3 linked regions of the Macaca mulatta genome follow. The protein of the gene in region 1 purifies or fractionates together with the protein of each later gene. This does not show direct contact. Links are inferred from orthologs where the notes say so. Each region holds a gene or a part of one and is shown on either strand. Other genes may lie near its edges.

What was found. Proteins that work in one complex are often made in the same cells at the same time.
Region 2: the proteins of PPP6C (region 1) and ANKRD44 purify together in Homo sapiens (affinity purification with mass spectrometry; 5 studies listed by BioGRID and IntAct, counting the BioPlex papers as one, with this or other methods). This does not show direct contact. The link is inferred for Macaca mulatta from reciprocal best matches to the Homo sapiens genes PPP6C and ANKRD44.
Region 3: the proteins of PPP6C (region 1) and ARHGEF2 purify together in Homo sapiens (affinity purification with mass spectrometry; 4 studies listed by BioGRID and IntAct, with this or other methods). This does not show direct contact. The link is inferred for Macaca mulatta from reciprocal best matches to the Homo sapiens genes PPP6C and ARHGEF2.

Annotation. Positions count from the first base shown.
Region 1 is NC_133420.1:22,618,087-22,622,613, reverse strand, and holds part of PPP6C (serine/threonine-protein phosphatase 6 catalytic subunit), read right to left. Parts: intron 2,608-4,527; exon of another isoform or gene 1,858-2,607; intron 968-1,857; coding exon 719-967; 3' UTR 1-718.
Region 2 is NC_133417.1:102,059,259-102,063,785, reverse strand, and holds part of ANKRD44 (serine/threonine-protein phosphatase 6 regulatory ankyrin repeat subunit B), read left to right. Parts: intron 1-357; coding exon 358-445; intron 446-3,049; coding exon 3,050-3,192; intron 3,193-4,288; coding exon 4,289-4,501; intron 4,502-4,527. UniProt on the Homo sapiens protein: Putative regulatory subunit of protein phosphatase 6 (PP6) that may be involved in the recognition of phosphoprotein substrates.
Region 3 is NC_133406.1:110,999,296-111,003,822, forward strand, and holds part of ARHGEF2 (rho guanine nucleotide exchange factor 2), read left to right. Parts: intron 1-1,980; coding exon 1,981-2,181; intron 2,182-2,573; coding exon 2,574-2,693; intron 2,694-2,822; coding exon 2,823-2,890; intron 2,891-3,032; coding exon 3,033-3,068; intron 3,069-3,275; coding exon 3,276-3,326; intron 3,327-3,561; coding exon 3,562-4,005; intron 4,006-4,351; coding exon 4,352-4,527. UniProt on the Homo sapiens protein: Activates Rho-GTPases by promoting the exchange of GDP for GTP.

The DNA of each region.
Region 1 (4,527 bases):
AACAATGTAAGCTGTTTAAAATTTCTAACACTTAACCTATCTTTTATTTAAGATTACTTTATTAAAAATACAAGGAATCTGAAAAAAGATCAATACAATTATCTTAATGTACAAAGTCATAAGCTGTAGCAGTTTTTAACTAAAATTTAAAAACACAACAAGGAGGGCAGCCCTTTAGACCAATTTATTTTATATCCATTTAAAATATCATCCAACAAAGGACAATGAAGTTTACATCTGGGACAGGTATACATAATTTGAGGCATTTGGAGTCCATCGTGCCCACTGAATAACAACTTTGCTGCTGAAATTTCTTAAAACTTACCAAACTAAAACAAAAGGCTGAATGATACAAAAAGGAGGAGTATTTAGGTGTAATCTGTCAATTGGCTTTTAAAAAAAGGAAACACATCCTGTTTCCCAGACCAGTAAATAAGCAAGAGCTACATGCAGCAGTGTGAGTATGAAGACATTTCTCAAGTCTTCTCAAATGAGTCCAGGGTGGGGATGGGATGGCGGGAAAATTGATAGAAAAACTTTGCTATAGACACCACAACAAACAATAAATTTAGATAATTTAAAATTCAAAAAAAAAAAAAGGCAAGAGGCAGCATTTCAGCAGCAAAGTGCTCAATAAAAAGTATATTGTAGAAGGTAATACAAGAAAATTGGGGTAAGAAGAGGGCAGAAAAATGGGTCAGCAGGATGGGCGAAGGCCTCAAAGGAAATACGGCGTTGTCGTTCTGGGAGGAATAACACGTTCTGAATCTGGAACTGCCCGGAATAACTTTGGTTCTCTTGTATTTACATCTTTGAAGACCATGATCGAAGCAATATTTCCACAACGATAGCAGTAATTAGGAGCAGACCATACTGTCACCAGCTTCTCATCAAACATAAATTTATAGCCTTCGTGCACTAGTTGATGTGCTCTGCAGATGAGTTTTAAGTTGTTGATATGAACAAACTGCAATTTAGAAAGACACTGTAAGTATTTAGCACTTAAAAAACAATTACCCTACATACGTAAGAAAATAATCATTCAAATACCAAATCCTATTACTACTAAATGCATCATGATTATAGAACCCACTCTATAATTATCCCCAACAATTTAATAAGTTTAGGCAAACAGAGCAATTTTGGCCTGAGTCAACTACACAGCTATAGAAACTGTATAGCTACATAGTTAGAAATTTCTGGAAGAAAAAGCATTCAATAGGTACTATGAATCAAAATTTTGTGTTTTCTGATTTAATAATAAAGATATTACTATCAGTATCTACAATTTACTGATAGTATGTTTACAGTTTACTGTAGATGTTGCAATAATTCTGAAAGAGATTATTCTTTTGCAACTTAAGGAAACAAAAGCTCAGACTAGATAAATAACTTATCTAAATTAAGATGCACTGATACAGGATCAGAATCTAGTTTTCTGACTTCATTATGATGCTGGAGCACTTCCCAATATAAAGTCATGTGTGTGTGTGTGTATTTAGTTGAAAACAGTTAAAGTTCAAAGTATTGCCTATCTTGAAGATGGTGGGGTAGCATCACAAAGCTGTTAGCATTGAGTCTCTGGACCGACTTTGATTCCAGTCTCTGCAGCAGCAGTGATCACTTAGTGAAGAGTGCTTAGGATAGTTGGCCAGGATCCTGAATATCAAAATCTTCAGCAGCAGCTCCCACCAGGACTTATCTCAGAAAACTGCTGACTGCCTGGGCCTGGAGCTCAGCAAGGTAGTGACTAAGAAATTCAGCAACTAGGAGACCTGTATGGAAATTGGCGAAAGTGTACGTGGAGAGAATGTCTACATCATTCGGAGTGGCTGTGGTGAAATCAACAATAATTTAATGGCACCTTTAATCATGATTAATACCTGCAAGATTGTTTCAGCCAGCCAGCTTACTGCAGTCATCCCATGCTTCCCTTATGCCCAGCAGGATAAGAAAGACAAGAGTCGGGTGACAATCTCAGCCAAGCTTGTTGCAAATATGATATCTGTAGCAGGTGCAGATCATATTATCACCATGGACCTACATGCTTCTCAAATTCAGGGGTTTTTTTTGACATCCCAGTGAACTACTTATATGCAGACCTAGGTGTCCTGAAGTGGATAAGGGAGAATATCTCTGAGTGGAAGAACTGCACTATTGTCTCATCTGATGCTGGTGGAGCTAAGAGAGTGAACTCCATAGAAGACAGGCTGAATGTGGACTTTGCCTTGATTCACAAAGAAGGCCAATTAAGTGGATCGCATGGTGCTTGTGGGAGATGTGAAGGATCTGGTGGCCATCCTTGTGGATGACATGGTTGACACTTGTGGCACAATCTGCCATGCAGCTGACAAACTTCTCTTAGCTGGAGTCACCAGAGTTTATGCTATCTTGACTCCAAGTATCTTCTGTGGTCCAGCTATTTCTCACATCAACAACGCATGCTTTAAAGCAGTAGTAGTCACCAATACCATACCCCAGGACGACAAGATGAAGCACCGCTCCAAAATACAGGTGATCGACATCTCTATGATCCTTGCAGAAGCCATCAGGAAAACTCACAATGAAGAATCCACTTCTTACCTATTCAGTCATGTCCCTTTATAACACAGTTACTTCTGAGGTTTTTTAAGAATAAAATCCACCCCACCCCTTGTTTTCCCTTGGTATTTGATGACAAATTCAGAAGACCCAGCTTACTCCAGTGTAGCTTTCAATATCCCACATCAGGTATATCTGAGCTTATCCGAAATGGAGAAAGACGGGTTGAGATTAACTGCTGGGACTTCCTACCTGCACTGTCTCATTCTGGCTTCCTTGATGATTTTGTGAGTCTTGCAGCTTTAACAAGAGCTCAGCTGTTACAAGATTTCAGACTTTTGAGGATAGTGGGGGTGTCTGACTGTGATTGGAGAAGCTCAGACTACCTTGCATGTGAATGCTTCAGGGTTTTCTTTGTTGAGAACAACTAGCAACAAAGCCAACCCATGTGTGAGCAGTTCTCCCCAAGGTCTATGCTAAATTATGGCAAGAGCCCTGGGCAACCCCAAACCTAGTCCCAGTGGCTGAGCACCCTGTAAGGCAGGAACAGGCAGTTGGACTTGAGCAGCCATGGGGTGGGGGGTGGGGGTAGTGGAGGGGGGAAGCAGCACAGTGCAGCAAATGTTTCTTGGGAGGAAGAAGCCTGATTCATCATCATCTGCTTGACTACGTAGCTTGGATTCTCTTTTGTACCTATTCCTTTGATTTGGCTTTACTTTCATCCATCTTGATCCTTTCCTGGCCAAATATCCGCTTGGGCCCAAAGGAACACGGCACCATAGTCCTCTGGAAAGCAAATGTGCTTCCTGCTATGTAATCGCTAACATTCACATTACATGATTTGCTGTAGCTTGATCTTCCTTAGCCTACTACCACTGTGGCAGTAGGTTTTAGGTGGTCTCATAGTGCCTTTTGATTAATTTAAGTATTTAATTGCCATCTTCCTTCTTTGGATCTACTTGGCATTTCAAATGAACAGAGATTTCTGTTTTAAAAAAAAAAAAAAAAAAGGCCAGGCGTGGTGGCTTACGCCTGTAATCCCAGCACTTTGGGAGGCTGAGGCAGGCGGATCACGAGATCAAGAGATCGACACCATCCTGGCTAACACAGTGAAACCCCATCTCTACTAAAAATATAAGCGATTAGCCAGGTGGCGGGCGCCTGTAGTCCCAGCTACTCAAGAGGTTGAGGCAGGAGAATGGCATGAACCTGGGAGGCAGAGCTGGCAGTGAGCCAAGACCAGTCACTGCACTCCAATCTGGGTGACAGAGCAAGACTCCGCCTCAAAAAAAAAAAAAAAAAAAAAAAACAGATTGACATAGGCCAGGTGCGATGGCTCATGCCTGTAATCCCAGCACTTTGGGAAACCAAGGTGGGCAGATCACCTGAGGTCAGGACTTCAAGACCAGACTGACCAACATGGTGAAACCCCGTCTCTACTAAAAATACTAAATTAGCCAGGCGTGTTGGTGCACACCTGTAATTCCAGCTACTCAGAAGGCTGAGGCAGGAGAATTGCTTGAACCCAGGAGGCAGAGGTTGCAGTGAGCCGAGATTGCGCCACTGCACTCCAGCCTGGGCAATATGAGTGAAACTCTGTCTCAAAAAAAAAAAAAGATTGATGTTATTGGCTCTTGTAGAGGAAACTAATAAAGTGTCTGTATCTGTGTGATTTGAGGTCTTAAAAAAAAAAAAAAAAAAAAAAGTACTGCCTAGTTTGGTCTTGACATTTTGTTACTTAATTACAGTATTTGAAAGGAAGGGGGCCGGCCGGGCACAGTGGCTCACACCTGTAATACCAGCTCTTCGGGAGACTGAGGTGAGTGGATCACCTGAGGTCAGGAGTTCAAGACCAGCCTAGCCAACATGGTGAAACTCCGTCTCTACTAAGAATACAAAAATTAGCCAGGCATGGTGGTGTACGCCTATGGTCCCAGCTACTCAGGAGGCTGAAGCAGAATTGCTTGAACCTGGGAGGCAGAGGTT
Region 2 (4,527 bases), on another chromosome or scaffold:
ATCATTCAGAATTGGAACGCTCCCTCCAGGCACTTTCAGCCACAAGTGGAAACTGATCTTCTTGCTGAGATTTTAAAGAATGTGATGAAAACATTTGTACACCAAACCTTCAGCATCTATATCATTCTCAACTTTAGAGCCACAATGAATTGAAAAAGTAGGCTGTCACTTCAGTCTTTTCCTCTGACACACATGACACAGTTCCTGCTCTGACATCATATTTCTACTTTGTCAGAACTCCAGATCTCTGACCTGCCTTTAGATTTCATGTTAATTTGGCTCAGATCACCTGCAGGCAGTGAGGAGGCCTCACCATTACAGAATGTATGCTTGATTTCCTTGTTGGTTATCTTTCAGATGGTCAATTTACTCTTGGCCAAAGGGGCAAATATCAATGCATTTGACAAGAAGGACCGGCGTGCTCTGCACTGGGCAGCATACATGGGTAAGGATTCCATGCATGGAAAGCAAAGTACAGATAACCTTAACTAAATAAGCCACGGGTCTCTTGTTGACCATGTAGGTTTTCTCCATTCTGACTTCTTTTCAAGTTTGGGTTGCAATGGAATGAAGATTTGGTACATTTTACTGGCATGCATAGTGTGCTCTAGTCGGGCAGTTGCTTTGTCAGATATTTATTTATCCTACAAAGAAGAGGAGGAATGAATCATGGCTTGGGCCTCTTTGAATGTGCTTCAGTCTGGATTGGAAAGCTGCACAGATTGTGCTTATTTTAACTTGTCATGGCAGTAAAATAAGGTGTTTTAAAAAGAAAGAGCACTGGCTAGGAAAGCAAGGACACAAATTCCATTGGTCTTTTTAAATTTATAAATATTTTTGAAAGAAACAAGAAGAAAGGAAGAAAAGACAAACCTCTGGCTATTTTATAGGTGAAGGGCACCAGAAGTACTGAGGATTATCCTGATAGTCCACTGACAACCAAACTGAAGCCTGCAGCCCTCATTTCTGCCCGCTTGGGAGAGGTCACATTTCTATGTTTTTCCTTTTCACTTTTGTTGGCAAATCCCACTGACAAATGATAGATCTCACAGTTTATTCCAAGTGTAGACTTGTGGGAAATGAAGAACTAAGATATTTCCTTTGTGTTTCTAATTGGAGAACATCCTGCTATTAGAAAAATAGGATTCTATCAGCACCAAGTTGTAAACAACCTGAATACCCATCCCCAGGAGACTGTTTTGGTAAATTCTGGAAGATCCACACAAGGGGACCCTTTGCAGTAACTACAGTGATGAGTCCATGAGTGTTTATTAACACAGATTCTGTGATATGTTAAGTGAAAGCATATTATAAAGCAGTATAAATAAAATAATTCTCATTTTCATTTAAAAATCTGTGCAATAACAAACCTGGAAAATATTGTATGCTAAAATTTTAATTGATTGTCTCTGGGTATTTATGATTGTGGATGATTTTGGTTTTCTTTTAATACCTTTTTGCCTTTCTGAATCCTTTGTAACAAACATATGTGCCTTTTATCATCGCTTTAAAAATTAACATTAATTATAGGGAGAAAGAATAGGTTGGGGCAGGGATGAAATAAAGTATGTGGCTAAAGATGGGTCTGAATGAATCCCTGTGCTTAAAAAAACAGAATCTTAAACTTTTACAAGCGTTAGCATGTTTTTTAAAAAAAGTTGACATGGATTTTCGAGTTGGCTGAAGCATATGAAATGACTAGGTGGCACCTGCAGGACTGGAGCCTGTGACTGCGGGAGACAGCTGTGTAGGTCGAACACACACTAAGCTAGTGTGGATAGGACTCAAAGAGTGCGAAGTTTCAAGCTTGTTCTCTGCTGATGTATACACAGTTAAAGCATTTGGATAAATGACTCTAAAGAAATCAAGTCATTGTTTTGTGTGCTATCAGGATACAAATAGGAATAATAGGCAAAACCAGGGCAAATAGCTTAAGACAGCACCACTAATAATTGAAAAAAAATTTTCTATATACAAGTCTTGGGGAGAAAAGAGTCAAATTTTAATAAAACAAGCCAATACCTCCCCCGACTCCAACACACACACGGAGTCCTGGAGTCAGTACTTGTCTTCTACCCTTCAATTTTCAGCCGCATTTAGAGCAGTGATCCTGAAGCACTGAACAGTCTTCAGTGCTGAAAGAAAGGTCAAATATGCTTTTTTGTTTGTTTGTTTGTTTATTTATTTTTTGATACAGGGTCTTGCTCTGTTGCCCAGGCAGGAGTGCAGTGGTGCTATGTCGGCTCACTGCAGCCTCCGCCTCCCAGGTTCAAATGATTCTCGTGCCTCAGCCTCCTGAACAGCTGGGACTACAGGCGTGTGCCACCACACCCAACTAAGTTTTTAGTAAAGACGGGGTTTTAGTAGAGTATTCTTAGTAGAGACAGGATTTCACCATGTTGTGCAGGCTTATTCTATATATGGTGAATTATGGAACAGAGTAAAATATTGTAGAAAAGAATGCTAACAGGAGCTAAAACTAGAAGGGTTTTCTGTTTGGCCTCTAATTCATGAGGATACTTTTAAGTTGAGCCATATGAAATTGCCATTTTTGTGGGTCCAAATACAGTTAAGCAGCAGTAATTTTGTATGATTAAACAGTAATCTATGGTCATTTTCATTATTTTTTTTCTTTTATCAGTTTTTCCTAACTGAATTGTCATTGTTAAACTTTTCAGTGAGGAATGGCAATTGTTTTCAAAAGCATTGCTTTCATTTTAACACAACATTTTTTAAGGCTCTCTACTGATATCTTGGCAAAACCTCACCATTATTCATTAGCATGGTAACAGGCATCACCTAGATCTCCTTGAAGAGAAGGCTCATATGAATCATCTTTTTTCTTCCCACAGCATTTACATTATGCCTGACTATAGGAGGTACTCAATAAATATTTGTTGAATAGCTTCCATGAATATTTTCCAGTTTTTACAAATAACTCAGCAAAATACTGGTGGCAATAAAAGCTAATGGTGATAATTTAGGTGAAATGAATCAGCAAATTGTCCTATAAAGGTTAACGATGTTTTCTGCTGCTTTGTTTGTAAAGGCCACCTGGATGTTGTGGCATTGCTCATTAACCATGGCGCAGAAGTGACCTGTAAGGATAAGAAGGGTTATACCCCTCTGCATGCTGCAGCCTCCAATGGACAGATCAATGTTGTCAAGCATCTCCTGAACCTGGGGGTGGAGGTGAGCTATAATGAATGCATCACTGCATGGCCTGTGTATTTGTGAGATTTCTGTTATTCTAAAGTTAAATCCTGTTTGCACTTTAATTCAAGGGCAGGGGAGTTGTTTTCTAGCATCCTGTCTTTTTAAGATTTTGTGGGCAACTGGTAAAGGGCAGTGGGGGCATACACTAAGCAGAGGAAAACTGGAAACTGAATAACTTTCTATATCAACATAGATAAATATATAGACATATAGATTCTATGTAATATTTATTAACCAGTTGTTTTTAAAGACTGGCCAAGGTTCTGCATCCCACCTTCCAAATGTAGCCTTCTAAGTCATGACTTACAGCAGAAATGAATGAATAAATGGCAGAGACAAACATCAGCAATGTCTGTTCTTGAGCTGGAGAAGTCGGACTGCTGCATTCTCCTTCTGCTGGTAGAACAGGAGCAGTGGTGAGGCTGGAACATCCTGTCCCCCAGGAAAGGAAAACCAAGTTGCTATACAACCATAATGATGAAACCAGGCACCCAGGGCAGGTCTCAGAAAGCAATAGGGGGCCATGGACGAAACACACCTCCTGACGGCACCACTGCTCTGCTACTAAAATGGAACCTGGTGAGGTGTCAGGCTCCAGAGCAAAACAGATATTAGGTTCTGACCTGCCTTCTGTGTTTAGGCTCCACAGCCACCTCTCCTGCCATCTCCGCAGCCACTACCTGCTATCCACTACCATTTCTTGAGGTTTGCTGTGCCCCAACCCTAGAGTGTGGGACTCTTTTTGTTCTCTTCTGATTTACTTCTCTTTTGGTGTTTTGAAAGCAGCTTTGCCCTTCACCTTTTATCCCTTTGTTAGCTGAAAAATACCTCTCCCCAGGATGAAACTTCTCTCTCTCCAGTTCATTTTTTGCCACATTGACGTTTTGCTGATCTTTACCATGGGGTGACAAGCATTCCCAAGATGACCACACTGGGGCAAGAGTAAGCTCTGAACAATTATATTGACGGATGGCTATTTCCTTTCTCTAGCCACAGCAATTATGCTTTTTGTGGAAAATGGAGTAAACTGGCTCCAATGACTTGAATCACCCTGTGTTGGACTCTTTTGCAGATTGATGAAATCAATGTCTATGGAAATACAGCGCTTCACATCGCCTGCTACAATGGACAGGATGCTGTGGTTAACGAGTTGATTGACTACGGTGCTAACGTGAACCAGCCAAACAATAATGGGTTCACCCCTTTGCATTTTGCTGCTGCCTCCACTCATGGTGCTTTGTGTCTTGAATTGTTAGTAAACAACGGGGCAGATGTTAACATTCAGGTATGACACTCTTGGTCTCTGTGTTG
Region 3 (4,527 bases), on another chromosome or scaffold:
ATGCCTGTAATCCCAGCACTTTGGGAGGCCAAGGTGGGCAGATCACAAGGTCAGGAGATTGAGACCATCCTGGATAACATAGTGACACCCTGTCTCTACTAAAAAATACAAAAACAAAAAAATTAGCCAGGCGTGGTGGTGGGTGCCTGTAGTCCCAGCTCCTCAGGAGGCTGAGGCAGGAGAATGGCATGAACCCAGGAGGTGGAGCTTGCAGTGAGCTGAGATTGAGCTACTGCACTCCAGCCTGGATGACAGAGCGAGACTCCATCTCAAAAAAAAAAAAAAAAAAAAAAGTAGATTGGCTGGTGCAGTAGCTCATGCCTTTAATTCCAGCAGGATTTGGGAGAGGGAGGATCTCTTGAGGTCAGGAGTTCGAGAAACATACATAGCAACAAAACATACATAGCAAGACCCCATAGTCCTGGCTACTTGGGAGGCTGAGGTGGGAGGATTGTTTGAGCCCAGGAGTTCAAGGCTGCAATGCACTATAATTGCACCACTGCACTCCAGTCTAGGTAACAAAAAAAAAACAACCCAAGGCCGGGCGCGGTGGCTCAAGCCTGTAATCCCAGCACTTTGGGAGGCCGAGACGGGCGGATCACGAGGTCAGGAGATCGAGACCATCCTGGCTAACATGGTGAAACCCCGTCTCTACTAAAAAATACAAAAAAAAAAACTAGCCGGGCGAGGTGGCGGGCGCCTGTAGTCCCAGCTACTCGGGAGGCTGAGGCAGGAGAATGGCGTAAACCCGGGAGGCGGAGTTTGCAGTGAGCTGAGATCCGGCCACTGCACTCCAGCCTGGGAGACAGAGCAAAACTCCGCCTCAAAAAAAAAAAAAAAAAAAACCCAAAAAGGTAGAATATTATTGCTGTCAACGTAACAGTTCAAAGTGGGAAGTGCAGAGTAGTGGTGCAGCTCTGCCATCTTTAACATGAAGTTTTCATCTCTATGTCACGTCTGAAGTGGCTGCTCCAGCTCCCACTGTCACACCTGTATCACACCTAGCAAGGAAGCGTAAAGGAACAGAGTTTACACCCTTTTTTTCTTTTTCTTTTCTTTTCTTTTTTTTTTTTTGGAGACAGGGTCTCGCTCTGTCACCCAGGGTGGAGTGCAGTGGCGCCATCTCAGCTCACTGCAACCTCTACCTCCCAGGTTCAAGCGATTCTCCTGCCTCAGCTTCCCAAGGAGCTGAGATTACAGGCACCCACCACCACTCCTGGCTAATTTTTGTATTTTTAGTAGAGATAGGGTTTCACCATGTTGGCCAGGCTGGTCTCGAACTCCTGGCCTCAAGTGCTCCACCCACCATGCCTGGCCTATACCCATTTATTTTAAGAGCAGATCTGGAAGACGCTCATATCCATTGGCCAGAATGTAGTCACATAGCAATATAGTCATGTGCAAGTCAGGCAGGAAAACATGGTTGTTAACTGAGCAGCCATGTGTGCCCAGATGAAACTTCTATGCATTTTCTCATTAAAGGAAGATGGGAAGAATGAACACTGTTGGACAACCTGCAACCCCTTGCAACCCCTGCCACAATCTTTTTTTTTTTTTTTTTTTTTTTTTTTTGAGACTGGAGTCTCGCTCTGTTGCCCAGGCTGGAGTGCAGTGGTGAGATCTCAGCTCACTGCAAGCTCTGCCTCCTGGGTTCATGCCATTCTCCTGCCTCAGCCTCCTGAGTAGCTAATTTTTTGTATTTTTAGTAGAGATGGGATTTCACTGTGTTAGCCAGGATGGTCTCGATCTCCTGACCTTGTGATCTGCCTGCCTCGGCCTCCCAAAGTGCTGGGATTACAGGCATGAGCCACTGCGCCTGGCTCCTAGAAACCTTTTTCTTTTTTAATAAATGCTAAAATAACAAAATTAAGTCTTGCCAAACTGCCCCGCACTACCCTGTTTCCCCTAGGGCTGTCCTCTACTGGCGCTCCTGCATATCCCCTAGGCCCTCTCATAGGCTCACTTGTTCCTTATCTGCAGTGGAGTTGCAGCAGAAGGACCGGGCACTGGTGGAGCTGCTGCGAGAGAAGGTTGGGCTGTTTGCTGAGATGACCCATTTCCAGGCCGAAGAGGATGGTGGCAGTGGGATGGCCCTGCCCACCCTGCCCAGGGGCCTTTTCCGCTCCGAGTCCCTTGAGTCCCCTCGTGGCGAGCGGCTGCTGCAGGATGCCATCCGTGAGGGTGAGGGAGCTCCCAGGGAAGAGTCTAGGCTCAAGCACTCACTGTCACAGAATATGGACATGTGACTAGACATGGACAAACACAGACAAGTGGGATGCCAACCCCATGAACCATGAACAGCCCTGAGTGCCTCTTCTGGGCCAGTTCCTGGGAAAGGCAGGGGAGGAGGTGTGGTCTTACTGCTGCTCCATGTCGTCCATGCTGCAGGGACTCCTGCTGCCTCATAGGCATTTACTGCCCTTTACTTCATCAGTGGTTGTGTGAGTGAAACCCCACTGCCAGTGCAGGGGGCATTCCCCTGGATGCCCGAGTGCCCCACATGTAGGGGTGAATGGCATTCCCCTCAGGGTCCTGTATCATTCCTACTCTCACCTCTTCCTCTTTCCCCACAGTGGAGGGTCTGAAAGACCTGCTGGTGGGGCCAGGAGTGGAACTGCTTTTGACACCCCGAGAACCAGCCCTGCCCTTGGAACCAGACAGCGGTGGTAACACGAGTCCTGGGGTCACTGCCAGTGAGTGCCAGGGCAGGGGACCAAGGTAGTAGGTGGGAGGGGCCAAAGCAAGTGGAGTGGTACCAGGGATCGAGTGGTATCAGGGCCCCAGGGAAGTGAGCTCAGCCATCCTTTTCTCCTTCTCAACAGATGGTGAGGCCAGAACCTTCAATGGCTCCATTGAACTGTGCAGAGCCGACTCAGACTCCAGCCAGAGGGTAGGTCCTCAAGAGGTTCTGGGACTTGGCAAGAGGGTGGGAGAGAGACAGCCAGCCTCTGGATCCTCAACACAAAGCTGTCAGGGGCAGGCACCCAGGATTTGTGTGCCTGCTGACTCCCCATTCTTGCCCATTTCTGCAGGATCGAAATGGAAATCAGCTGAGATCACCCCAAGAGGTGAGAAGGGAATTGACAGTATAGGAGACTAAAGGGAGGGTGTTCTTAGGCTGAGAAGTTAGAACCCAGTTTGGAGTGGGGTGGGGAAAGTGTCTACATCCAAGTATGTCTCCAGATCCTACTGTCCCCACACCTACCCTTGTTCAACTTTTGGGCAGTTCTCCCATCCTAAAGCTGGGGCCCTGTTCCCACCCCGTCTGTCCTCAGGAGGCGTTGCAGCGATTGGTCAATCTCTATGGACTTCTACATGGCCTACAGGTCAGTAGGGCAAGGGCTTGAATGGGGAAGGGGAGGAGCCAGGCTAGAGATGCCTGTTTAGGTAGAGCATGGTCATCCCAACAGGCCTTTCTAAATACCCTCCCAACCCAAGCTCTCCAGGAGCGATGACCTGGGCCTTGGAGGAGCGATGACCTGGGCCTTGGAGGGTGAGGGCAAGGGGTAGAAGAGCCACAGGGGTTTTTGATAAACCCTTCTGCCCACATTCTACCCCCAGGCAGCTGTGGCCCAGCAGGACACTTTGATGGAAGCCCGGTTCCCTGAGGGCCCTGAGCGGCGGGAGAAGCTGTGCCGAGCCAACTCTCGGGATGGGGAGGCTGGCAGGGCTGGGGCTGCCCCTGTGGCCCCTGAAAAGCAGGCCACAGAACTGGCATTACTGCAGCGGCAACATGCGCTGCTGCAGGAGGAGCTACGGCGCTGCCGGCGGCTAGGTGAAGAACGGGCAACCGAAGCTGGCAGCCTGGAGGCCCGGCTCCGGGAGAGTGAGCAGGCCCGGGCGCTGCTGGAGCGGGAGGCTGAAGAGGCTCGAAGGCAGCTGGCCGCCCTGGGCCAGACCGAGCCACTCCCAGCCGAGGCCCCCTGGGCCCGCAGACCTGTGGATCCTCGGCGGCGCAGCCTCCCTGCAGGCGATGCCCTGTACTTGAGTTTCAACCCCCCACAGGTAAGGTGGCCTGCAGTGGTGAACGGACCTGGGGTGGACATAAGGGTCCGTGGAGCCCAAAAGAAATTGGGCCATTGGGGATTTGAGCCCAAATGCAATCAGGCAACCGACTTGAAGGATATTGAGGTACTAGTTGGAGAACTGAAAAGAAATGTAGATGGGTGCAGGGGTGGAGGAAACTAACTCGGGTGGTGGTGCTGAAAGAGGCCAGTTGGTGGTGGATCTCCTGAAGGGGAGTCATGGGTGAGCCCCAGTGGGGAGAGCTGCTGCCTTCAGCCAAACAGAACCTCCAGTCTTCACACTACTCAGTCCCTGGCCTGCTGTTCTTCCTGCCCACTGTCCACAGCCCAACCGAGGCACAGACCGCCTAGATCTGCCTGTCACTACTCGCTCTGTCCATCGACACTTTGAGGACCGAGAGAGGCAGGAACTGGGGAGCCCTGAAGAGCGGCTGCAAGATAGCAGTGACCCTGACACTGGCAGTGAGGAGGAAGGTAGCAGCCGTCTGTCTCCGCCCCACAG